Oryctolagus cuniculus: one gene and its partners. Each later gene encodes a partner of the first gene's protein in a complex. Links are inferred from orthologs where the notes say so. Each region holds a gene or a part of one and is shown on either strand. Other genes may lie near its edges.

What was found.
Region 2: VPS72 (region 1) and EPC1 share a complex: the UniProt entries of both Homo sapiens proteins name them as parts of the nuA4-related complex. The link is inferred for Oryctolagus cuniculus from reciprocal best matches to the Homo sapiens genes VPS72 and EPC1.
Region 3: the proteins of VPS72 (region 1) and RUVBL2 are in contact, whole or in part, in a cryo-EM structure (PDB 9CA9), measured with the Homo sapiens proteins. The link is inferred for Oryctolagus cuniculus from reciprocal best matches to the Homo sapiens genes VPS72 and RUVBL2. Residues at the interface, in NP_005988.1 of Homo sapiens: Pro210, Ile211, Ile212, Thr213, Tyr214, His215, Ser216, Val217, Thr218, Arg260, Cys261, Ser262, Arg263, Thr264, Thr273, Glu276, Trp277; in NP_006657.1 of Homo sapiens: Glu141, Val142, Val143, Glu144, Ile145, Gln146, Ile147, Asp148, Arg149, Pro150, Ala151, Thr152, Val187, Gln188, Ala189, Gly190, Arg207, Phe209, Thr210, Arg211, Ala212, Asp214, Tyr215.
Region 4: VPS72 (region 1) and MORF4L2 share a complex: the UniProt entries of both Homo sapiens proteins name them as parts of the nuA4 histone acetyltransferase complex. The link is inferred for Oryctolagus cuniculus from reciprocal best matches to the Homo sapiens genes VPS72 and MORF4L2.
Region 5: VPS72 (region 1) and MBTD1 share a complex: the UniProt entries of both Homo sapiens proteins name them as parts of the nuA4 histone acetyltransferase complex. The link is inferred for Oryctolagus cuniculus from reciprocal best matches to the Homo sapiens genes VPS72 and MBTD1.
Region 6: VPS72 (region 1) and MEAF6 share a complex: the UniProt entries of both Homo sapiens proteins name them as parts of the nuA4 histone acetyltransferase complex. The link is inferred for Oryctolagus cuniculus from reciprocal best matches to the Homo sapiens genes VPS72 and MEAF6.
Region 7: VPS72 (region 1) and BRD8 share a complex: the UniProt entries of both Homo sapiens proteins name them as parts of the nuA4-related complex. The link is inferred for Oryctolagus cuniculus from reciprocal best matches to the Homo sapiens genes VPS72 and BRD8.

Annotation. Positions count from the first base shown.
Region 1 is NC_091438.1:46,919,284-46,923,213, forward strand, and holds the start of VPS72 (vacuolar protein sorting-associated protein 72 homolog), read left to right. Parts: upstream 1-1,130; coding exon 1,131-1,247; intron 1,248-3,930. UniProt on the Homo sapiens protein: Deposition-and-exchange histone chaperone specific for H2AZ1, specifically chaperones H2AZ1 and deposits it into nucleosomes.
Region 2 is NC_091444.1:102,677,175-102,680,674, forward strand, and holds part of EPC1 (enhancer of polycomb homolog 1), read right to left. Parts: intron 3,429-3,500; coding exon 3,280-3,428; intron 2,450-3,279; coding exon 2,097-2,449; intron 1-2,096. UniProt on the Homo sapiens protein: Component of the NuA4 histone acetyltransferase (HAT) complex, a multiprotein complex involved in transcriptional activation of select genes principally by acetylation of nucleosomal histones H4 and H2A.
Region 3 is NC_091449.1:8,261,926-8,265,425, reverse strand, and holds part of RUVBL2 (ruvB-like 2), read left to right. Parts: intron 1-243; coding exon 244-299; intron 300-590; coding exon 591-732; intron 733-2,508; coding exon 2,509-2,638; intron 2,639-2,743; coding exon 2,744-2,810; intron 2,811-3,500. UniProt on the Homo sapiens protein: Possesses single-stranded DNA-stimulated ATPase and ATP-dependent DNA helicase (5' to 3') activity; hexamerization is thought to be critical for ATP hydrolysis and adjacent subunits in the ring-like structure contribute to the ATPase activity.
Region 4 is NC_091453.1:89,784,663-89,788,000, reverse strand, and holds the end of MORF4L2 (mortality factor 4-like protein 2), read right to left. Parts: 5' UTR 3,290-3,338; intron 2,071-3,289; 5' UTR 2,047-2,070; coding exon 1,180-2,046; 3' UTR 501-1,179; downstream 1-500. UniProt on the Homo sapiens protein: Component of the NuA4 histone acetyltransferase complex which is involved in transcriptional activation of select genes principally by acetylation of nucleosomal histone H4 and H2A.
Region 5 is NC_091448.1:27,000,961-27,004,460, reverse strand, and holds part of MBTD1 (MBT domain-containing protein 1), read left to right. Parts: intron 1-1,417; coding exon 1,418-1,565; intron 1,566-2,632; coding exon 2,633-2,715; intron 2,716-3,072; coding exon 3,073-3,307; intron 3,308-3,500. UniProt on the Homo sapiens protein: Chromatin reader component of the NuA4 histone acetyltransferase complex, a multiprotein complex involved in transcriptional activation of select genes principally by acetylation of nucleosomal histones H4 and H2A.
Region 6 is NC_091438.1:135,241,529-135,245,691, forward strand, and holds the start of MEAF6 (chromatin modification-related protein MEAF6), read left to right. Parts: upstream 1-1,363; 5' UTR 1,364-1,443; coding exon 1,444-1,533; intron 1,534-2,095; exon of another isoform or gene 2,096-2,381; coding exon of another isoform or gene 2,382-2,435; intron 2,436-2,518; coding exon 2,519-2,634; intron 2,635-4,163.
Region 7 is NC_091437.1:25,955,661-25,958,859, reverse strand, and holds the end of BRD8 (bromodomain-containing protein 8), read left to right. Parts: intron 1-1,761; coding exon 1,762-1,939; intron 1,940-2,506; coding exon 2,507-2,557; 3' UTR 2,558-2,699; downstream 2,700-3,199. UniProt on the Homo sapiens protein: May act as a coactivator during transcriptional activation by hormone-activated nuclear receptors (NR). Isoform 2 stimulates transcriptional activation by AR/DHTR, ESR1/NR3A1, RXRA/NR2B1 and THRB/ERBA2.

The DNA of each region.
Region 1 (3,930 bases):
GGCCATTGCAGCCATTTGGGGAATGAACCAGCAGATGGTGGACCTTTCTCTCTTTCTCTCTCTCCCTCTGTAACTCTCTCAAATAAATCTTTAAAAAGATAAGTTCATTTTTTAAAAAAGATTTATTTATTTGAAAGGCAGAGTTACAGAGAGAGAGAGGGAGAAACAAAGAGCGATGACTCCTCCATCTGCTGGTTCTCTCCCAAACAATTACAGCAGCGAGGGCTGGGCCAGGCCAAAACCAGGCGCACCGGTCTGTTCTCTCACCTGCGTGGAAGGGGCCTATCTTTTTCCAGGCAAATTAGCAGGCAGCTGGATTAGAAATGGAGCAGCTGCGAATTAAACTGGCACCGATATGGGATGCCGCTGTTGCAGGCAGTGGGCCACAACGCCAGCCTCCATTAAAGATTTTTGAGGAGAAGATTAATTCCATTTTTAGAAAAGTTACTACCTACAGCAGAATGAAAGACTGGAACATAGAAACATGACCTCTGAAAGCATATTTGTTGGGGTCAGCCTTGTGGCCCAGTGGGTTAAGCCACCACCTGCAATGCCAGCATCCCATTTGAGCGCCAGTTCAAGTCCCAGCTGCTCCACTTCCAGTAGTGCTCCCTGCTAATGCGCTTGGGAAGAAGAGTAAAGGAAGGTTGGAGTGCTGGGGCTCCTGCCACCCACGTGAGACCCCGATGGAGTTTCCGGCTCCTGGTTTCAGCCTGGCCCAGCCCCCGCCATTATGGCCATTTGGGGAGTAAGCCAGCTGATAGAAGATCCCTCTCTGTCTTTATAATTCTGCCTTTCAAATGAATAAATGAATGAATCTTAAAAAAAAAAAAAAACTTGTTCACTACAAAGTCTGTACTTAGTCTTGGTGTCACGGGCACGGCATATACTCATTCAGCAAGACAGGTCGGAGGTGGCTTGGAGGCTCAGCGCCAGAGTGGGCGGGGCTGAAAGGTAAAGAGGGCTGTAGGGGGCGGGACCAGAAGGCATCGATGTTCTACTGCTTCTGCCTGACGCCTGACTTCCGCCAGCTGAGGCCTCCCTCCCGCAGGTAGTGGTGTCGAGTACCGAGCTCCGAGAACCGAGCTGGGTGAGGGGCCGCTGGTGGCGGCGCAGTCTCCGTAGGCGATATGAGTTTGGCTGGGGGCCGGGCCCCCCGGAAGACCGCTGGGAACCGGCTCTCTGGGCTCCTGGAGGCAGAGGAAGAAGATGAGTTCTACCAGACGACTTATGGGGGTTTCACAGAGGCAAGAAGCGGGCCCAGGAAGAGGGAAGGGAGGAAGCGAAGAGAAGGAGTCTTGCAAGGAAAAACCCTGGACAAAGAAGAAGGGGGCGGGGAATCTCTACCGAGGAGCTCTGGGAGCTGATACTCGAGTCAGGGTGGGTGGGAGGGGGTGCAGTGGAGTCCTGGAAGAGACAACCCTTGGCCGGGTTGGGGTGGGGGTGGAGGTCTGGGATGGAGAAGCCCTCTGGAGGCACCCCGCAGTGTGGTAGAAACCTACAGTGCACATCTCCAGTTTCTCTGCACTGTGACGTCTAGCATGCGGAAGGCACATCGTAGGCAGTCCCTTGGTATGTATTTGTGCTGTTTGGCGCACTGCTGGGTTATGCAGAGGAGTATGGAGTATGCAGAGGAAGCCGCTCCAGAAAACCGGGGCTCTTAGGCTACCCTTTTTTCAAATTTCGAGCCCCAGTGTCAATGTTTTCCTAGATAACCCTTCCGTGACTGTTCTAAAAACTTCTCCAATGACTTCCGTCCCAGAAGCTGTTTCTGTGAAGTTTGTAAATAGACTTGGCTTGCTTATTTGTTTATAGTTTTCTGTTAGATTGTAACTTCTGTAAAGTTACAGGTAGTCTTTCTTCAAATGTTACTCTTCCCGTCGGTGGTCCAGTGTCAGGATTGGGCTGACACTTGCTACATTCTTACTTCCTGAACCTGTGCAGTTGATACATATTGAACACATGGAGTGTGGCGGTGGGTGGTGATAGATCTACACAGTGTTAAAAACACTTCTCTGTCCTTATATATCCAGATTCGGGGTCGGGGGGAGGGACTGACCGGGTTTACAGTCTCTTAAAATTCTGTGCGATAAACATGTTACGGGAACGTGTAGGATCCAGAGTTGTTGCTCAGGATAAGGATCCCTGTGGGGATGATGTTTAAGCAAAGAAAGTATGAGTAGTAGGACTTGACTGGATGAAGAACAGAGAACAGGGAATGAGAAAGATTATTCCAGGAAGGGGTTGGAGCACAGTGTGGACAGGCACTGGGATCCTGATCTGGGACCTGCAAGTTTACTTTTATTTTCTATCCTGAAGGAAGAATAAACACTGGTAAGGCTGGAGGCAGTGAGCATGAGCTGGATCACATAGGTCCCTGAGAGCCACAGTAAGGAATTTCGCTCTTCATCCAGAAGATTGAGAAGAGTCATCAAATTTCTGAGATTAAATTTGTACTTCAGAACTGTTACTCTGTAATAAGGGACATGGGGGAATGGTTTGAAGGGGGCAGGAAACATGGATGGGAGAGTTCAAGAGATATTAAGAAAATAGCACCCACAAGGCTCAGTGACTTTCTGGGAGTCATTACTTACACAAGCCTAACCAAGTAGTTTAAAATAGAACTTTCTCATCCCTCCTCCAAAGTCATTTTCCTATTTCTGTCATTTTACGAGTCGTTATTTAATATGTACTCTTCATGCTTCCAAAAAGGATTTAAAGAGGCTTATGATATAAACAAAAAGTAGGAACAGTAAAAATAGAGACAGATCATAAGTCATTGTACCAGGAGCCTATGCTAAAATGGTAAGAGCAATTGATATTAAATTTAGCTGTGAGTTTTGTGGCTTACTTAGCCAAACTAAATTTCTTTTTACGGTAAGAAAGACGCATACGTGTTCTTTTAGAGAGACAAACCTATTCAGCATAAAACTCTAGGGAAAATTTATTACTTTTTTTTTTTTTTTTTTTTTTTGAGGTCTTCCCTCCACTGGTTCACTCCCCAAATGGCTACCACAGTTGGGGCTGAGCCAGGCCAAAGCCAGGACCCAGGAACTTCTGGGTCTCCCACATGGGTGTAAGAATCTGGGGACTTGAACCATCCTCCACTGCTTTTCCCAGGCACATTAGCAGGAAGTTGGATTGGAAGCAGAGCAACTAGAACTTAAACCAGTTCCAACTTAAACCAGACTTTGGTCTGGCCTAGCCCTGGCCATATCGGCCGTTTGGGGAGTGAACCAGCACATGGAAGATCTTTGTCTCCCTACCTCTCTCTCTTTAACTGTGCATTTCTTTTTTTGTTTTTAAGATTTTATTTATTTACTTGAAAATCAGAGTTACAGAAAGAGAAAGAGAGGCCTTTCATCTGCTGACTCCCCAAATGGCTGCAATGGCCAGAGCTGAGCCGATCCAAAGCCAGGAACTTCTTCCAGGTCCCCCACATGGGTACAGGGGCCCAAGGACTTGGACAATCCTCTACAGCTTTCCCAGGCCATAGCAGAGAGCTGGATTGGAAGTGGAGCTGCTGGGACTCAAACTGGTGCACATATGGGAGGCCGATACTGCAGGCAGTGGCTTCACTTGCTATGCCACAGCACTAGCTCCTGTGCCTTTCAAATAAAGTGAATTTTTTTAAAAAATACATAAATATATATATGTATACATATATACATATACATATATATATAAATATGAAGTAACGGGGTGGTTATATAACCCCACCCTGTAGGTGATATAAAAACATTCTGTTATCCAGTCATTTATAAATGACTGGATAAAAGATACGGGAATAGTAATTCTTAATTTGTTGAAAGCATTTTGATTAGGCACTAAACTAATATGAAGTTGATCTATTGCTCTCTGGAGATGGCTTACTACCAGGTTAGAGTCAAGCCCAGGGGATTAATGTGTTCCTAGGCTGTCTTTCACAGA
Region 2 (3,500 bases), on another chromosome or scaffold:
TGGGGACTCTTGCGGAACACAGCTAGTTTCCTCTGGTGTTGGACTGAATCAGAGTCTCTCTGAATCGACTAAGGTGTTAGACTGAATCAGAGTCTCTCTGGTGTTGGACTGAATCAGAGTCTCTCTGAATCAACTAAGTGCTAGATGAAGTGGTTAGCTTTGTACGGGGGGGGGGGGGGGGGGGGTGGCCGACACGACGACATTCTGTATGTAAAACTTGTCCTTAGACCTACAATTACGCTAAGTGAGATGTTTTAGCCCAAGAAGGCAATGACAAGGTGGGCAGGAAACGTGTAGGAGAAACAAAGGATTTGCATCTCTCATTCCAGCTTCACCTTGCAGAAGACTTTTTCTTAGAACTGTATTTAAAATCCTGTATTATGATTCAACTACCAAATATTCTTTGCCCCTCCAGGGGCCTATACTTAAATTCACTTAACTGAAATCCATATATGACAGAAACGCACTCTAATATATTTGACAGAGCAAAAAGAGAAAAGCTTTCAGTCACCAGAACATTTACAAATATGAAAGAATAGTGTTATCCCATAGTAGTTTGGAGGCGTCTAGTCTCTAAATATATGGGAACTCCAGCGATTTTCAGAAGGAATTGAGAACAATCAATACCACAGAAAAAAATAGGTAAGCTCATTTAAAAAAAAAGTTATATATGTAGGGAGAAGGAAATGATTAAAAAGAGATTAGAATATTATAAAGATTTTTTTCCAGCTAAACTTGTGGTATGTTCAACAATGTTCACCTTTTAAAGTTCTTTGGCAAACACAAATTAAGAAAGTTTTGTAACTGATATTGATATGCCTTTTATGTGAAACAGAAAACTTATTTATATAATAACAGTGAGCTTTATAAAATTATTAAGACAGCTATAAACTTCAGTTTCTCTAAGGGATGGGAAAGATGGGGATTGATGGAACATGTCTATCTTCTCTAAGAGGTCTCAATTTCATAAAGCTTCAGAAGCTTTAAATATTGGGGAAACTACTGCAAATTTATACTTTTAAACTGTTCACACCACATATACATCTTCCTTCATTGTGAAGTTCTTCATTTTGATTTTTAAGATAATAAACCAGAGAGTAATTGGCTTTTGGTGATAAAAATATTAGGAATTAATGAAATTTATAAATAACCAGTTAGATTTCCAAGAAACTTTATCTTCCAGTTGATCTACAATGTGATTACTTTTCTCATGAACACAAAGATTTCCATTTCACAGAAGTCCTTTTTGTAACCACCAACAAATTACTATATGAACACTTTCTGGAGGTCTTCAAGAGAAAGAGGCACATTTTCCTATGCATGAGGCAACTGAACCATTACCCCACCAGGTACTGATTAGGGAAACAAGCAATCTTTACAGTCCTTTCAACATCAATATTTAAATTACCTCGAAAAAAATGTAGTAGCATAATTTTAACAGTGAAAGTCTCTAACTTATAGGCTTCAAATGACACGGACTTGTGCTTTAAAATAGAAAGCTACAATTATAGGAATATTTTAAGTAGATAGCATTTATTGTAATAGCCTTATTTCACAATGTATAATAATAAAGTCGACATAGTCTAAAGATGTTTTCAAAAATGTTAAAGTAAACTTTAGCTTAGATATTCTTCTTTGCAAAGTTAGTTTCTCTCTTAATACATTGTTCTGAATTGTTTTATCAGCACAGATGCTTAAGCACGCCTACTGACTTGCTGGAATCCATGCTTAGGTAAAAGACGAAAGAAGTATCCAAGCATGAAACTCTTTAACGATTTCAGGTCTGTTTTCCTTTCATATTATTTGAAAATGTAATCAATGATTCTTGTGGTTCAATGACTGCATCCAGCAATCAAATGTCACCCATTAAACAGCAACACATCGCCTTTGCATGTGGGTGTTATTTGAATACAGACACATACATACAAACTCCTACAGCAACAAAATTCAAATACTTAAACCAAGACCTTTTTTATTTTATTAACTGTTTTGAGAAAAAAAAGATTTTCAGCTACATATGTAATAAATCACACACTCAAAAAACTGGAGGAACCTTACATTTTTATAGAAATGCACATCATAGCAAATAAACATACCGAAGTGTGCTGAGCCACTGCTACTTTTACTTTGCGTGGAGGTACTGCATGTCTGGGTCCCAGGTTGTGCTGTTCCTGTTCGATACACACTCCTATACAACTTTCTACAGGAGAGTTCATCATTGTCACCGTCATGTAGGGATGGTGTCCGAGGCCTAAAATGCCGCCATCTACATGATTTGATATTGACTAGTATCTGACTGAGGTCTTTAGAGAAAGATTTGTCCGAGGTATTTGTTTCTGAGGTATTGGCAAACTGATTGACTGGAGAATGTTGTGGTGAGGAAAGCATTTCCAAATCCAGGTGGCGAAACATACTGTCGTAGTCTGAATGAGCTCTGTCCAGTAAGACCCTATTAAAAACACGGTGGAAATAGATATATATCAGCAGCTCCTCAAGGACTATTTAGGAAAGCTTTTCCTTTCTCCCCCCAACCCCAACTTCCTAACTCCTATTGGATATTCAAAAGCTATAAAGTTGATTATTTCAGTATTTGATTATTACAGGCTCAAAAACACACTTTACAAAATCTTGCTAACATATCTGTCTGTATTTAAGCAAAAACGTCATTCTTTGGGGGAAGAGAAAAGCAGTTAAAAGACATGTGATATTTGGTACTACTAAAATTTCTTATAGACAAAATATGACAATCCCCTACTTTAGGGGGATATATTATTATTGATATAAACTTCTAACCCATTTTTATTTATTTCAAAGGCAGAGCGAGCACATGCGCTTTTGGCCTCTGGTGCATTCCTCAAATGCCTGCTACGGTAGGGGCTGGACCAGAAACTGTATCCAGGTCTCCCATATGGGTGGCACTGGCGCCAACATCTGTTGCCTCCCAGGATGCACAATAACAGGAAGCAGGATCAGAGGCAGAGGTGAGACTCAAACCCCAGGCAGTCTGATAAGGGATGCAGGCATCCCAAGTGGTGACTTAACCCACTGCATCACAATGCCAGCCACAATCTAAATTTCATAAATGACTCCATCTCAAAATGAGAATACTGATTAATGCTAGCAACAGAAGAAAATACAGCCACCACAGAGAATTTTCACTACCACCAATGTCACAGAAACAAAGTACTACAAAGTGGCAAAATATTTCAACAAATAAATTAAGAACAGCAAAGAGAAATATCTAAAATATCCCTCTGCTAGGAACACAGAGCACCCTACCTTCCACCGCGCCCAACCCGTCTTCGTGCAAATCCAATACACCTCTGGGGTACGGTGAGAGTAGTTAAGCAGTATCTGTATCGCACATCCCCTAATCCTCCATCTTTAGGACTAGTCCAAGGCCAGTTCCCAGTTTGGTCTAAGTGAGGCTAAAAAAAAATATCCACATTATTTTATTTTGTCAGTTAGAGGGAAACAGTTAGATATTTGCAAGGAGGAAA
Region 3 (3,500 bases), on another chromosome or scaffold:
CGAGCAGTGGCCTAGCCCTCCATGCCACCACCCCGCCCCAGCTGCAGCCCTCGTTTCACAGGATTGTGCAGAAGGAAGCCAGCACCTGTGGGTGCCGTGTGAGCCCTGCACCCAGAGCCATAGTTGCTGGTGGGCTCATGTGGTTAGTCAGGCCTCAGTGGCCAGTGTGGCGACCCCAGCGGCAGCCGCAGCTGACTGAGCATGTGCCGAGCTGCCGGTGACCTTGCCTCTCCCTGCACGCAGGTGCTCACTCCCACATCCGGGGACTTGGGCTGGACGATGCCCTGGAGCCACGGCAGGTAAGGCAGAGGGGACTGGGGTTCAGGGCTGCTCCATGAAGGCCAGGGCTGACGGTGCCCGTGGCGCGTGTGGGACTGTGTTATCTTCCCGACCTGTGGCTCCACATTTACAAAACTCAGCCACACGTGGAGTCTAACTGACGTCAAAACATGGACATGGGGGGCTGCTTTGGCTTTCCCCAGAAGTCTTGGGCCCCGGTGTCTGCTTTGGTGTCCCGCGCCTGGATGCGGTAGAAGTACAGCGGTTGCCTGGTCGGCGCCCCTCATGGCCCTCTTGCTTCCACCGCGCAGGCCTCCCAGGGCATGGTGGGGCAGCTGGCGGCCCGGCGGGCAGCCGGCGTGGTCCTGGAGATGATCCGGGAAGGCAAGATCGCCGGGCGGGCCGTCCTCATCGCTGGCCAGCCGGGCACCGGGAAGACGGCGATCGCCATGGGTAAGAGGCCCCGCCGGGCAGGAGCGCTCTTGGTCTCTGCCAGATGAGCCCCCCTCGTAAGTCAGCGTCAAACCCCTCACGTAAGAAAGTCCAGACGTGGGCCACTGGGGCCTTTGAGCAGCTGCACGAGGTCTCCTGTCTTCCTGCCTTGACATCCTCTGCACTCGGTTCCATGTCAAGATCGCCTCCTGTTCCGAGAGGGCTGCCTGAGCTCCCGCCTCCCCACCCACACTCCAGGCAGCAGGCAGTGAGGGCGGACCTCCTAGGTCAGCTCCCCGGGAGCGGCTCTCGGGAGCCAGGCGTGCTGTGCTGTCCCGTCGGCCAGAACCTAGCCACGTGCCTACACTCTGCTGCAAAGGGGCTCAGACGCTCACAACTTCTTTGAATTTCCAAAGTTGGTCTGTGGCTGCCTCAGTGCAGCGACTGTTCTGGAACTAAGGAAGGAGGGACAGACAGGCGCTGAACACACAGCCGGCAGTCTCCATCCGCCCACCGGAGATCTGTCATCTTGTCACAAGTGTCGCTCGTCTCGGCGAACCCCTGTCCACCCTTCAGAACCCTGCCTGGCACTGTGGGCTCCCTGAAGCCCTCCTTCCCACTGCCCCCTCCTCTGGGCTCAGGCTGTGCCCAGGCAGCGGGAGGCGCAGAACGACCAGGGCTTAGTCAAGGGAAGCAGCGTCGTCTGGTGCCCTCCTGTGCTGGGCCTGGGGCTGCACGCTGAGTGCATGTAGCCCCGCTGAGCCCTCAGCGCCGGGAGCTCCCCGTCTGGGAGAGGCAGGCCTGGCCACGGGCCCTTCCAGAGTGACGCGTGCTGTCATGGAGGTGTCCCAGGGCAGGGGCAGCTCCCCAGAGGGGTCGACACCTGAGCTAAGACCGCCGGGACCCCGAAGGAACTGGCCCTGTGCTGGACAGAGGCCGGGGGAGGGGCTGGGTGCTTGGGAGATGACAGGAGACAGCCCCCGCCTGCCCCCAGGTTCCAGCTGCAGACCTGTCCCTGTGTGGTCGCAGGCTGAGTGACAGGGTTGAGTGCCCGCCCCATAATCACGCAGTGCAGGCTGTCGTCCGCGGAAGGCTTGGGAAGCAGCTGAGACTTAGGGATCCTTCAGGGCTCAGCGTGCTGAGCAGTGGGGTCTGGATTCAAACCCGGCTGCTCCCCACCCCAGGCCCTGAGGCCGGACAGCTCTTAGACACTGGGAGACGGAAGACGCTCGGCGAGGTTCGAGGCCGTCCCCTCTGGCTGGTCGGGATTTGAGAGCAGGCTTCTGGCGCAGCCGGCTTGTCTCCCGTCTGCCCTGTGCCTCGCGCCTCTCTCCAGCCCCCTTCCCGAGGGTTCTGCCCTGCTCAGAGCCAAGCGAAGACGGGGTGGCAGTGCAGGCGTAGGGTGCAGACCGAGCCACTGCGTGGGACGCCTGCATCCCACGTGGACTGTGTGGTTTGAGTCCCTGCTGCTTCACTCTGGCCAGCCAGCTGCCTGCCCTGGAGGCATAGGAAGCCCAAGTACGTGGGCTGCTGCCACGCACGGGGAGGCCTGGGGGAGTTCCTGGCTCCTGACTTGGGCCTGTCCCAGCCCCGGCTGTTGTGGGCATCTGGGGCGTGAACCAGCAGATGGAAGGTCTCGCTCCGTTTCTCCCTCTCTGACACTGTGCCTTTCAGATGAGTACATCTTAGGGGAAAGGAAGGAAAGAGGCCGATGGCGCCGAGCGCCCCTTCCTGGGGGAGAGCTGGCTTCCCCGGGGAGCGGTGCCAGCGCCTGCTTACCCAGCCCGCCTCCCCCAGGCATGGCCCAGGCGCTGGGCCCCGACACCCCCTTCACAGCCATCGCCGGCAGTGAGATCTTCTCCCTGGAAATGAGCAAGACCGAGGCGCTGACCCAGGCCTTCCGGCGCTCCATCGGCGTGCGCATCAAGTAAGGGAGGGGCTGCCTCCTGCCAGCCGCCAGCCCGCTCACCCTCCGCCCTGGGGCTCCTGGGGGTTCTGGGTCGCTGTGCCCTGAGCTCTGCTCTCTGGCCAGGGAGGAGACGGAGATCATCGAAGGAGAGGTGGTGGAGATCCAGATCGATCGGCCGGCCACCGGCACGGTGAGTCCGCGGGTCTGCAGCCGGGCATGGGGGCGTGGCCTCCGAGTCCGTGGGTGGGGCGGGGGGCGGAGCCTGGTGTGCTGGCGGGAGGGCTGGGCGGAGTGGCGGTGCTCGCCAGCAGTTGGCCGGGGCACGCGGAGCGGGGCAGCGGCGAGGGGCCGGGCTGGGCGTTTCTGTGGGTGCTCGCCAGCCACCGCTCAGAGGGCAGTTCTGCGGGGTTCAGACGCCTCAGTACCAAGCTGCGCCGTGGGATTTGCTCGCTGGTTTTTTTAACCTAAGACTTTTCTGAAACCCTTTTGGTATCCGACAGGTACAAAGAAGCATATAAAATAAACACTGCTCTAATAAGTCAGGAGGAAATCCCCCCCCCCCCCCCCCCGCGCAGGTGCTGAGCCTCTGCCAGCGCCCCCAGCATTCCCCACCCCGCCTCGCTGCTTCCCGCCGTGGCCCGAGGCCCTGTTACAGCTCCCTCCTGCGCCCACGCTCGCTCCCTTGTCTCCAGGGTTTTTGTTACCCAACTCTGCATTCCTAGACGCTGGAGTAGCCTTGTCAGGTGTTTCTGCTTCGTGCCTGTCTGTTGGAAAGTTTCCCTTGATCTCTTCGTTTGTGGTTTACCTGTAAAGAAACCGTTTTAAAGTGTGCGGTGTGGCAGAAGGACACCATCTCGTCTAGTTCTAGAACTGTCCCCAA
Region 4 (3,338 bases), on another chromosome or scaffold:
AAGTTAAAAACGAGCTCACTGGGGTGGGCCTGTACCTAATGATTTGTGTCCTTATATTGGTAATTTGGGGAAAAATCCTTTATTAATAAACTCTTCAAACCACCCATTCTGAGTCTTTTTTTTTTTTGGAGGGGGCTGGGACTTGAATTGATAGGATTTTATGTGATTCTTATTTCCATATTTGTTCTTAATGTATTTTCTAAAATTTTTACAATAGTTATGGTTACTTTTCTAGTTGATCTGAAAAAGTCATGAAAAATATGTGGTTTGACTAGGAAATTCTCATGTTTAGATGAACCTACAAGTACAGCTATCCAATACCATGGAACATCTCCATGGATTCCCTATGCTAGGATTAAAGAGAAGGAACTTGACATCTGTTGGGGAATCAGGGAAGTCTTGGTCAACGATCTAGGAGTCACAGATCTGTGATACCACCAAGATCTTTCCTGAGCAAGGTGAGTCTGTCAGCTTTGGTGACATTAAAGGCACAGCACATATTTCTTGCTTTGAAACTTAGAAACAATTTTTATTTGAGATCTGAAATACAATTCCTAAAATATCAACTTCTCCAGAAAACCGTGGCTACACAATAATGCATTGCCTCTATCATGTTAGAACGTGCATTAGACTCAAATACAAAAACCATGAAACAAATCACCATCCTTCAACAATTTGAGCAAAGATAGGATGCCTAAGGAACAACATAGATGGATTTGCAGAGGATGGGCGGTTTTTACTTCAAGCACCATAAAAAAAAAAAAAGAGCACAAATGCATGGGTTTTCGGGTATATACATTAAGTTGAACCTTTGGCACTAGGAATCAGGGCATTTTTTTTTTTATCACATAGCATTAACACAGATTAGAAAATTGTGTAGTGTCAAAGGGATGGAACCACCAGCGTTCAAGCAATGTTGTCAACTATGCAATAAAATGTTCTACTGAATTTTTCTTCTTTTTCTAATTACTGCATACACTGGTAGCAACTCTGAAATGAGAAAAGGAGTTTGCACTCCTTTTATTTTCTGTTTAATATAGAACAGAAAACAAATTGAAACATAAGCCCTGTTATACATTAACAATTTTAAAGAACATCAATTATACAAGAAAAAGACTAAGAACAAAAAAAAAGTGTTTTACAGATACCAGACATTAATGGTGAGTGGTCAGTAGACCCTCACAGGGCTTTGCGGTGGTACTCAGCAGAAGCCACTTTATAATCACTGGCAGTAAACAGAGAAGCAGAATTCTTTGCCAGATATTTTAGGAAATCATGCAAATAGCCCAACAATAGAGCAAGGCTCTTTTCATCAAGGGGCGTATAAGCCAACATTGCTCCAATTCTCACAAATAATCTCAGTAGGTGTGGTGCTCCATAAACCTGGGACATCGGCGCATCAGGGTGAGCCAACAGGATTTCAGCATACTGGGGCCTCTCAAACTTATAGAGCAGCTGAGTGCCCAACATCACATTGAAATACTCTTTTATACCTCCCACAACTTCATTGACGGCATATTCTTTGTTGTCGATGTTTCCCTGTGACTTCTTGCAATTGGCATACTCTTCCAGAATAGCATCTACATTCTTCTTGGCAGGGAGTTGAAAGAGCTGTTTCTGCCTGGTTACTAAGTCCCAGTCCTCAACAAGCCATGGTTTTAATTCTTCAGGGATCTTGACCTTCACTTCCATCCTATTCTTGAATGCATCCTCACTTTCGACAGTGGGATCGGCCCGGGCCCTCTTCTTCCGAGGGGGCTGGGGTGCTTCGCTGGTACTGCCGCCATCTCCATTCCCAGGAGTCTTCTGCTTGTTCTTCCTTGTCTTCCTCACAGATCCTGAAGGGGGGTTCTCAGCCGAGCGACCCCCCCATCTTCCTGGGAGAGCTTGTTCAACATTCTTCGGCTGTTGGCCAGCTGTCTTCTTTCCTGAGGAGGCGCCTCTCATCTTACTTCTCTGCATGTTGCCTCTAGTTGGCTTTTTGAAGTTGTCTTCTTCCGCAGATTGTTGTCCACGAGTTTGAGAACCCTGCTTTCTGGAACTCATTCAACCCTGTTTTTATTCCAACCACTGTAATACATAAAGTATTTTACATGTTTGTTTTCTACAGTGATCTTTAACTATGGTTCATAAAGGCCCATTAGGCCACAACATATGCTAACTCCTACTACCCACTACTGTCATCCCACCCAGGCATTCCTCAGACTGCTCTAGTTTTTTTTTATGTCACTAAAAGTATAGGTGTGCAATTTTAAAGAAGGAACTAAAATGACAAAGAAATGATAAAAGGCAGTGGAGTTGAAATGCAAGACTTTGGAACAGAAGAACAGAAGGAATGACAATGTAAAAGAAATCAGGAACATCAATTTAGCCAAAGAGAGGCAAAATGAACAACAGTAAAACAAGCAACTGGAAAGGTTCTTGTCTTGGTCCAGGTAGGTCGGAAATAGGGCAATGACAGTAAAGAGAAACTGAGCAACACGCTGAAGGAGACCAGGAGTCAAAGGGGCTCTGAAATGTCAAATGTGGGGAGCTAATGAGTTAACAAAAGTAGACTTAAGTGTTACTTTGGAATCAGCAATAAAAATGAAAGAATGGAGGTAAACCATCCATCTATTTGGTTTGTCATCTTCTATTGCTGTATTTTTGCTTCCAAATAGGCACTATGGTAGGTGTTAGGGATTCAAACATCTAAAGTGACAATTATAAAACAAGGTTAGTACATGATGGTTTATAGGCACAGAATACTTTGGTAGCAGACAAGACATGGCATGTAACAAAATCTCCAGTTATCACTAGTTGGGAGGGGGAGCGTAGAAAGTTGGTGAGGGAGGAGTCAGTGAGGACTCCCAGGTTTTGAGAAGTGATTAGGTCATTAGTATTATCACAAAATAATACTGCATCTGCAGGAGAAGAAATTGTTGTTCAGTATCAGCCTTCTTGCATGTGCGGTGTGCATTTCAACATAGCATTTTAAAGCTTAGGTGAGAGAAGTCAGAACTAGAAGTGAAATCTGAGAGTAATCATCATATAGCTGGCAATGGACACTATGAGGGAGACCAGAATAAAATCTGGGAAACCTGAGGAAGCGATATATAAGGGGTGAGCAGAGAGAAAGGCCAAATGAAACAAATGGCCAGAGCAGTCATAGGAAAATTAGGAGACTTAATTTGGAAGCCCAAGTTGAGAATTTCAAGAAGTGACAGGAATAATCGACAGTAAGGGAGGGCTAGAAAGGATGCAAAAATAATCCTATGGTATGAGAGGTCAAACAATTCTTTTCACTTACACAATCTTCCTTCTTTCCTTTCCAAGAATGCCTAGTGAGTTCCCAGATT
Region 5 (3,500 bases), on another chromosome or scaffold:
TGTGGAAGACAGCTGAAAGCAATAATACTAGACATCATAATGAAGTGACGGAGATTGACAAGGATAAAGAAGGGACTGGCAGTAGAGGTGGGGTCTTGACACCTGGAGATTGATTACCTACAGAGAAGTAAGAGGTTTGTTGGTTTGATGCCCTGTACTAATTCTCAGAGTATATTTAGACTGCAGAACTGACAAACTCATGATAAAACTTCAGGAATCAAGAAGCAGAAATTGTAGCACAGGGAATTAAGCCACTGCCTTGGATGCCCATATCACATACCAGAGTGCCTGAGATCAAGTCCCACATCTGCTTCAAATCCAGCTTCCTGCTAATGAGTCGGGGAGGTAACAGATCTTGGCCCAAATACTTGGGTTCCTGTCACCCACATGGGAGATTCAAATGGAGTTTCCTGGCTTCCACATGGCGCAGTCTCCACTTTTGGTATTTGGGAAGTGAACCACCAGATGAAGATCTCTCGCTGTCTTTCCCTCTATGTCTTTCACTCTGACTTTCAAATAAATAAGTACAACTTAAAAAAAAATGTAGGAATCACCGTGGGCGTTTGGTACAGTAATCACAACACTTCTTGGGACACCCATGTCCCATATCTGAGTGCTGAGGTTCAAGTCCTGGCTCTGCTCTTTTTTTTTTTTTTTTTTTTTTTTTTTTTTTTTTTGACAGGCAGAGTGGACAGTGAGAGAGAGAGACAGAGAGAGAAAGGTCTTCCTTTGCCGCTGGTTCACCCTCCAATGGCCGCCGCTGCAGCCGGCGCACCGCGCTGATCCTGGCAGGAGCCAGGAGCCAGGTGCTTTTCCTGGTCTCCCATGGGGTGCAGGGCCCAAGCACCTGGGCCATCCTCCACTGCACTCCCTGGCCATAGCAGAGAGCTGGCCTGGAAGAGGGGCAACCGGGACAGAATCCGGCGCCCCAACCGGGACTAGAACCCGGTTTGCCGGCGCCGCAAGGTGGAGGATTAGCCTATTGAGCCACGGCGCCGGCTCTGGCTCTGCTCTTAATTCCAGCTTCCTGGTAATATGTACTGGAAAAACTGTATGAAATAGATCGATAGGAACAAAGTAAAGGTACTGCCGAGTAGTATTTTCAGCCCACATGGTTATGGCGCTTCTACCTGACACAGTAACAGGCAGCTTTTGCTGGTGGCAAAGATACTGTTTTTCTCAAACCTCTGAAGTCACTTTGTTATTGGGCTTTTGGTTTCTGGAACACACTGGAAACTATATAGGCTTCTTGTTACAACTTCTGTTATTTAACATCAATCAGTAGACAAGCATTTCCACTTTGAAGAGATCCTTATGTAATAGATTTTCCTTTCCTTGAAAGTGTCATTTAATTCAGAGTGTCATTTTTTATAATAGTTGTATCTAATTTCAGATACTTGGGCTTTTAATTTAAAAGGTGCTGGCTGATGGATTCCTCATGATTGGGATTGATGGCTCAGAAGCAGCGGATGGCTCTGACTGGTTCTGTTACCATGCGACATCTCCTTCGATTTTCCCTGTCGGTTTCTGTGAAATTAATATGATTGAACTTACTCCACCCAGAGGTATTCCATCCTAATGTGAACACTCGGATTTGATTCTTGAGTTCTTCTTACACAGGATCTGTTTACATTTAGCACAGATATTCTTGCTTTGGGGTCTATATATTATATAGGTGTGTGTTAGCTATATAGAAATAACGGAAGCTGTTAGGTGCTCTAAAAACAAAGCACTGTATTTAAGTTTACATAACAAATTACATTAAGACAGAATTTTTCCCAAACCATCTGTCCATTTTCTAATATGAATTGGTGTTTTAACCTAATGATAATATGAACTCAAGGCTATTGCATACATAAATTTTTTTTTAATTGAAGGAAAGGGTGCTACTGGCTTTCAGGTTAAGCCACCTCCTGCAGTGCCAGCATCCCATATGGGTGCCAGTTCAATTCCTGACTGCTCTACTCCCCATCCAGCTCCCTCCTACTTTGCCTGGGAAAACAGCAGAAGATGGCCTAAGTCCCTGGGCCCCTGCCACCCATGTCAGGGACCTAGAAGAGGCTCTTGGATCTTGGTTCCTGGCTCTTGGCTTTGGCCTGGCCCAGCTCTGGCCATTACAGCCATTTGGAGAGTGAACGAGTGGATGGAGGGCTTCTCTCTTTCTCTCTCACACTGTTCCTTAAGATTGAAGGAACTTTGATCGTAAGATGGCTTTTTTTTTTAAAGGAAATGTGTGTTAAGTAAATCACATGGCTAAATCAGTTGATTTTTCCAGTTTTCCTCAGAGTTTTATTTTTTCTCTCAGAAGAGGAAAAAAGAAAGCTACAACAGAGGTCTATAAAAACAATATTTGCTTGCCTAGTTTTCTTTCTTTAAAAAAAAGAAAAATATCACTTCAGGGTGTTAAATGCTAGACTCTTCTGAAGCCTGTGATTGCAAAAGCAAAAGTCGTTCTTGTAGTAAACCCAAAGGAAGGGAATCAGACTGGCATGATAGTAAGTAGGCACACCAGTGAGCTAAAAGTGTGTCATATAACCTGAAATCGGAGACTCTGTATATGTTACCTCTTTCTACATTTTAGTATTAGGCTAATTTTAAATGAAGTGTTACTTCATAAAATTCTGTTTTTTAGGTTACACAAAACTTCCTTTTAAATGGTTTGACTACCTCAGGGAAACTGGCTCCATTGCAGCACCAGTAAAACTATTTAATAAGGTAAATATAAATGTTGAATTAATTATGTTGGAGTTTTTTTGATGACCAATAAGTGCAAGTCATTGTTGATGAAGATGTCTTTCCTTTATATTATAATTGCTTAGTGGTGATTAATATAAATACATAATATTAAAACCATTTATTTTCTTAGTTGAAGCTTATTTCCAAACTATGTTTTATTTTTAATATGAATGAAATAAAAATGCTTCACTGCCGTAATATAACTTAAATAATTAAAAGTGGTTTGAGGTTTAGGGGCTATGTTATTTGGCTATATTGCCTCAATTTTTTGCTATTTTAGTTACAGTTCAGTCATGCATTCTTTATACTAGTGTTAATGTTTTGCTTCCCTGTTAGGATGTTCCAAACCACGGATTTCGTGTAGGAATGAAATTAGAAGCAGTAGATCTCATGGAGCCACGTTTAATATGTGTAGCCACAGTAACTCGGATTATTCATCGTCTCTTGAGGATACATTTTGATGGATGGGAAGAAGAGTATGATCAGTGGGTAGACTGTGAGTCCCCTGACCTCTATCCTGTAGGGTGGTGTCAATTAACTGGATATCAGCTACAGCCTCCAGCATCACAGTGTAAGTTGGTATACACAAAAGGTGTCCTTTTGTAAACATCAGCAGTTCTCCAGAGGACTGTCTCACATAAATCATCTTGTGAGCTCACAGGACAAGAATATACCTGTGTTTGATTGGTTACCAGGTAAGATGTTAAAACTCAACAGACTCAGAAAATCAGACCATGTGTACCAAAGGCAGTATGAACTCAATA
Region 6 (4,163 bases), about 88 Mb from region 1:
GACTAGGAATGCTGATCAGCACAGTGAGACAGGAGAGGGAGTAAAGAGCACTCAGGGCTGGTGTTGTGCCACAGCAGCTTAAGGTACTCCCAGGGATGCCCACATGTCGTATCAGAGTGCAGGCTGGAGTTCAGCTACTCCGTTTCCAGTCCAGCTTCCTGCAAGTGTGCCCAGGAAAGCAGCTGGGGATGGCCCAAGTCCTTGGGCCCCTGCTACCGATCTGGGAGACTTCTATGGGTTTAGCCTCATCCAGCCTGGCTGGATGGTCATGTTGTGGTCATTTGGGGATTGAACTAGTGGATGGAAGATCGCTCAATCTCATAGTCTCTGTCTCTGTCTCTCTCCCTCTCTAACTCTGCCTTTCAAATAAATAAAATAAGCCTTTAAAAAGTAATATTTTAAAAACAGTATACATATTGGGAAGGAGTAACAATATAAAACAATTCCCTATTTGCAAATAAAATGATTGTCACAGAAAAAATTCCAAGGAATCTGGACTAGAAAACCCTTCCTAAAATTAATAAGGGAGCTTGGCAAGATCCCAGGTTACTAAATCTATACACGAAAAGAAATTTCCAGAAATTAGCAGATAGACAAGATGGAGAATATAGATAGTAAAACTTAAAGGATTAAAGACGTTTCTTTCTTTACTTGAAAGGCAGAGAGAGAGGCAGAGAGCTTCCATTGGCTGCTTCACTCCCCAAATGCCCACAACAGCTGGGGCTGGGCCAAGCCCAAACCAGGAGCCTAGAACCTAACCCAGGTTTCCCAACTGGGTGGCAGGATCCCATGACATCCCCTTCTGCCTCCCAGGGTGCAGGTTAGCAGGAAGCTGGAATCAACATACCCAGGACTGAAACTGGGGCCCTTCGATATGGGACGCCAGCATCTCAAGCTGGCGCTTAACTCCTGAGCCAAATGCCCACCCCCAAATAAAGGATTCTTTAAAAAAAATTATTTGAAAGGCAGAGTTACAGAGAGAGAGGTCTTCCAAACGCTGCTTCACTCCGCAAACGGCTGCAATGGCCATGGCTGGGCCAAGCCAAGCAGGAGCCAGGAGCTTCACCCAGGGTGGGTGGAGTGAGGATAACCCTCAGGCTCTGACTCGGGCCCCTCGGTGGCAGTGAAGTCATTCCCCAGGGGAATGACTAGGAACTCTAAGCACGAGCCTGGCTTTGGACACTGTGAGCCCGCGGTGCCCCTAAAGCTCGCCGGCCAATCCTAGTGCGGAAAGGCAGATCCCAGCAGGTGCGGCAGCCCCACCTGCCGGATCCATCCCCGGGGCAGGGTTTCCCAGCGCCCCGCCCAAGCGCGGCGCCCGGCGGCGCGCGTCTCCGGAAGCCGCTCGCGCAGGCGCAGTGCAGCGGGCGCCCCCTGGCGGTCGGCAGCGGATCGCAGGGCCCGCCCCCAGCCGCCCGCCGCTGCTGCCCGCCTCAGCCCAACATGGCGATGCACAACAAGGCGGCGCCGCCGCAGATCCCGGACACCCGGCGGGAGCTTGCCGAGCTCGTGAAGCGGAAGCAGGAGCTGGCGGTGAGCGGCTGGGACCCGGGGCTCCGGCGTGGGGCCCCGCGCTCGCCCGGCCGCCGACCGCCAGCCCGGCCGCACCAGGCCGTCGGTTACTCCGGGGACGCCGCGCGCGGCCCGGGAGTCCGGCGGCCTGGGCCGGGGCGCGTGCCGCCGAGCGCCGTTTCCGGCGGTGCGGAGGCGGAGCGGCGGCCGGAGCCCGGAGGGGGCGGGGAGCGGGCCTCGGCGGCGCGGAGGAGGAAGGGCGCCGCGGGCCGGGGCGTGTGCGTGCGGGCGCCTGAGAGGGCGGGTGTCGTGGGTCGTGCGGGTGGGCGCGGGCGGAGGCGGGTCCCGGCCTGCGGGTGGGCTTTGGGGATGAGCCGAGTGTGGGAGCCGGTCTGGTCTCTGAGAGGATGGTGGGGGGGTAGGTCCCTTTTGGTCCTAGGAGCCCATCCGTGGGAGGGTGTCTGGGATGGGCAGGGGTGTGATCTTTCCAGAAGGTGACAGGCGGGGGACGAGGACCGGGTTGGGAAACTGGGAGCCGTGACGTGCACCCCGCGTTTGGGCGCACCTGCTGCCGCCCTTCCAGGTTTCCATGACAACGGGCAGCCCGGGGCCGGCGGCCTCGCCGAGCCCTTGGGAGGGCAGTGCCCAGTGCCTCGCTCATTCCGCGCCTGGTGGCGGTCCCCTTTGTGCGTGGGCGTGGAGCCTGCCCCTGTTCTGCCTCGGCCCGGTTCTTGACACTTGGGTTTCCGAGAGCCCTGTGCAGAATTCCGCACGTGTGGGCGTTTACCTGGGGACAGGCTCTGTGGAGTCCGTTCTGTTCCCAAAGGGGTCGGGCCATCACCCCGAAAGATCCAGACTCTTGGACTTGAATGGCCTACCGTTCCTGGAGTCCTCCAGCCCTCCACGAAGGTAGTTTAATGTGGGTGAGTTTGGGTTTATGATAAGCCCAGGGTCAGGCTTTCAGTGTGGGCACAGCTAATCCCCGGCCTGGCTTGTCGTCTCCCAGGAAACTCTGGCCAACTTGGAGAGACAGATCTATGCTTTTGAAGGAAGCTACCTGGAAGACACTCAGATGTATGGCAATATCATTCGTGGCTGGGACCGCTATCTAACCAACCAAAAGTGAGTTTCCAAAGGTTGTGCTCTCGAAATACCCATTTGTGGGATTGTGTGTTGTTGACAGCCATGGGGCCGGGGAGGCAGCAGCCGTCAGGTGGTGGTGTGCAGGGAGGTCTGGGCTTGAGCTGGCACTGAGGGTCCGCCCCTGCCTCCCCGAGTAGAACAGGGGGAGTCTGGCCCTGCCCAAGAGCTGTGTAAGGCTTGGATGGAGTACGGCGTGTGACAGTCTGCACAGCTCTGGTAGTGTTTTCCACATTTTGATCAGTCTTGAGTTCAACCCTTGGAAGTTTTGCCATACCTGTGTGGCTACTGTACTACAGTGTTATTCTTTGGGACTGGCTGTGTGGCACAGGGGGTTAAACTGCAACCTGTGACGTCAGCATCCTGTTTAAGAGAGCCAGTTCTAATCCCAGCTGTTCTGTTTTCAATCCAGCTCCCTGCTGATGTGCTAGGAAGGCGGTGGAAGATGGCCCACAAGGTTGGGTCCCTGCCAACCGTGTGGGAGACCAGGTAGAGTTCCAGGCTTTTGATTTTGGCCTGGCCCAGCCCTGGCTGTTGTGGGCATTTGGGGAGTGAACCACGGATGGAAGACCTCTCTTTCTTTGTCTCTCCCTTTCTGTTACTCTGCCTTTCAAATAAATAAATCTTTTAAAAAAATATTTCATTTATTTGAAAGGCAGAGTGACAGAGATCTTTCATATGCTGGTTCACTCCCCAAATGGTGCAACAGCTGGGGCTGGACTGATCTGAAGCCAGGAGCCAGGAATTCCATCCAGGTCCCCTGCGTGTTGCAAGGGCCCCAAGCATTTGGGCCGTCTTCGGCTGCCCTTCCAGGCACATCAGCAGGGAGCTGGATTGGAAGTGGAGGAACTGGGACAGAAACCGGTGCCCATATGGGATGCCAGCACCCACTTAACCTGCTACGCTACAGTGCTAACCCCCATATAAGTAAAATGTTAAAAAAATGATTCTTTTCAAATTTTGGAAATTTTTAAAAATTTAAGTAGAATTTTTTAAAAAATTTACTTATTTATTTGAAAGAGTTACGCAGAGAGAGAGAGGGAGGTCCTCCATCTGCTGGTTCATTCACTCCCCAGATGGCTGCAAGGACTGGAACTGCGCTGATCCGAAGCCAGGAGCCAGGAGCCTCTTCTGGGTTCCCCACGTAGGTGCAGGGTCCCAAAGACTTGGGCCATCTTCCACTGCTATTCCAGGCCATAGAAGAGAGCTGGATCAGAAGAGGAACAGCCAGGACTAGAACTGGTGCCTATATGGGCTGCCAGCGCTTCAGGCCAGGGTGTTAACCCGCTGCGCCACAGCGCGGGCCTTAGGTAGAATTTTTTTTTTTTACGTTTATTTGGAAGACAGAGTGGCAGGCAGAGAGATTTTCCATCAGGTTAAAGGCAGGCTGAAGCCTGGAGGCAGAACTCAGTCCTAGTCTCTCCTGGGTGACTCCTTGAGTCACCACCTGCAGCCTCCCTGGGCGCACATTAGCAGGACATTGGAATTGGAAGCAGATGGGACTCAAGCCT
Region 7 (3,199 bases), on another chromosome or scaffold:
ATTTATTCTCATGGTTCTGGATGCTGAGCAGTTCAGGATCAAGTTGCCTGCAGGACTGGTCTCTAAAGGGCTGTTCTCTGCTTCCAAGATGGTGCCCTATTGCTACATCCTCTTGAGGGGGCAGATGCTGTGTTCTTACATGGTAGGAAGAATAGACAAGCAAGAGGGCTTCCATCAATCTCAGCCTCCTTTATAAGGGTACTAATCCTATTCATGAGGGTGGCATCCTAATGACTTAATCACCTCTCCAAGACCAATAACTCAGAACTGTTGCATTGGGGAATATGTTTCAACGTGAATTTCAGAGAGAACATCATCACTGAAACTATAGCAGAGACAAACTCCTTTGTAATATAAATGGGGAAATTAATGTCCAAAGGTAGTTGTGACTTACCTATGAACAACCAACAGTTAATAGCAGAGTTAAGCTATAGATTCTTTTTTTTTTTTTTTTTTTAGATTTATTTATTTGAGAGGTAGAGTTTACAGACAGTTAAAGGGAGAGACAGAGAGAAAGGTCTTCCCTCCGTTGGTTCACTCCCCAAATGGCCGCAATGGCCAGAGCTGCGCCAATCCGAAGCCAGGAGCCAGGAGTTTCTTCCTGGCCTCCAATGTGGGTGCAGGGGCCCAAACACTTGGGCCGTCTTCCACTGCTATCCCAGGCCACAGCATAGAGCTGGACTGGAAGAGGAGCAACTGGGACTAGAACCCAGGGGCCCATATGGGATGCCGATGCCGCAGGCAGAGGATTAACCTAATGCGCCACAGCCCTGCCCCAAGCTATAGATTCTTCCAGTTCAGCCCTTTCTACACTGCTGTGCTTTCTCGTATATATCTATTCTTTGTAAATATTTATTTGTGTGACTATTCATTTGATCTCCGTTCTTTTCATCTTAGTGAAAGGGGAAAAAAATTCACTTTTGATTTATGCAACAAGAGAAGTAGATTAAATACCTATTATATGACTACATTGCCAACAGCCAAAAACTATTGTGTGGCAAACTGATTGATAATCGGGTCCCCTTACAGCTCTGATGCCTGGCCAACCACCCACAGTAAGAATAGTGGCTTGGACCATGGGGTTCTGTAGTCAGGTTGATTTGAATTTGAATCCAGGCTGTGTGTCATTAGGCAAGTACTTAACCTCTCTATAGGTTAAGTGGAAATAATAATGATACCTACCTTATGGATTCAGAGGACTAAGTTACTACAGAAAGTGCCTACAGTAGAAGTTAGCCTACTATGAACAGTCAAATGTTAATCGCAGTTGCTTTTATCTGATGGGAGTTGTTACTTTGCTATTTATTTTTATTTATTTATTTTTTTTATGTGACAGGTAGAATTACAGACAGTGAGAGAGAGAGAGACAGAGAGAAAGGTCTTCTTTTTGCTGTTGGTTCACCCTCCAATGGCCGCTGTAGCCAGCGCACCGCGCCGATCCAAAGCTGGGAGCCAGGTACTTACCTGGTCTCCCATGGGGTGCAGGGCCCAAGCACCTGGGCCATCCTCCACTGCACTCCCTGGCCACAGCAGAGAGCTGGCCTGGAAGAGGGGCAACCGGGACAGAACCCGGCGCCCCGACCGGGACTAGAACCCGGTGTGCCGGCGCCGCAAGGCGGAAGATTAGCCTAGTGAGCCGCGGCACCAGCCTACCTTGCTATTTATTTTTATTAGGAACCAGTTCTCCAAAAGAGCATGGTAGGTCACCACATCTTCCATACTAATGTTTGATCTCCTCTCTTTCTCTTGGCCAATTTACAGACCCATGGACTTAACTAGCCTGAAGAGAAATCTGTCTAAGGGACGAATTCGCACCTTGGCTCAGTTCCAGCGGGACCTGATGCTGATGTTCCAGAATGCTGTGATGTACAATGATTCTGATCATCATGTGTACCATATGGCTGTGGAGATGCAGCGAGAAGTCTTGGAGCAGATTCAGGTACTGTTTGTAGAGTGCTGCAAGTAAAAGGGGTGTAGCCACTACGATCTGATTTTGGAAAGTCTGTGACAGTAAAGGTGATGTTGAAGTGGTGCTGTGTTTCCAAAGTTTATATTTAGAAGTGATTCAACACCTGGTGTTGTGTCTACTGCTTTGGACCCCGAACCTCAGTAGGTTCTATTTTTAGTAGAGAGTGAGGTGAAGTGATGTAGTCTAGCAACACAGGCAACAGTGAAGACCTCTCAAGAAAGCTGGGGATAGGCGAGTGATGGGAACTCCGGCTTCTAGAGCCTCAAGTGGGAAGACTGAACAGCAAACCAAAGGCTGGAGCCACTGTCCATTTGTTGGTTACTACAACTGTTGCTATTAATCACATCACAGGTTTCTATCTTTGGGGGAAAAGACTTAGTAGCTTTAAAGAAACATTTGGGGGTTTCTTTTCTGGGCAGCATTATACTTTAAAGAAAAAAAGTGTAATTGCATCTATTTGCCAAATAAGGGGGAAAATTATGTTGAATCATCTAGCTTTTAAGTTCATAGCTTACTATTTGTGCCTTGACCCTGCAGGTGCTGAGTATTTGGTTAGACAAAAGGAGAGACTTAAGTAGTCTGGAGTGAGAACCAACCAATCCAGTGGGTGATGAAAACGTATTTGGTTGACCTGGAGCTGCTACTCTGACGTTTTTTCTCAAGTTTGGACCTCTTCCTGAAACTCTGGCCCAGAAAAATCCCAACACTTTGTTTACCACTTCTCTGTTGTCTTTTCTAGTAAAAGGAGGCACCAGTGCCTGTGGATATAATATTAAAACAAAGGGAGGAGGGTTGAGATTTGGATTTATGTCATAAATGTTACCCCACATCTTTGTTCCATAGGCCCAATTTAGAGGTAATTAAACATTTTATTACTGCTTTATAAATAAATATTTCACAAACAAAGATTGCTTTTCAATTTTAAAGAAACTGGGTATAGAGAGAACAGCATGATCTGGTAGAACAAGAAGGTGCTTGCCACAGGTCTGTGTGGACGGTAGTGTCTAATTGGCAGGAGAGTCGCATAAGAAAAATTGTGAGGGAAATGTTAGGAAACAAATAGCGCTCTGAGATTCACAAGGAGAGTAAAATGCCGGTGGCTGACGTCCTTGATTAAAACGATCCGGAGAAGTTCCAAACCTGTTGCTGGGATTGGCCCTCAGCGGCCACTGTCCCTAGGCCGAGGCTTCAGGTATCCTAGCAACGAGCTGCCGCACTGGGAGCAGCTAG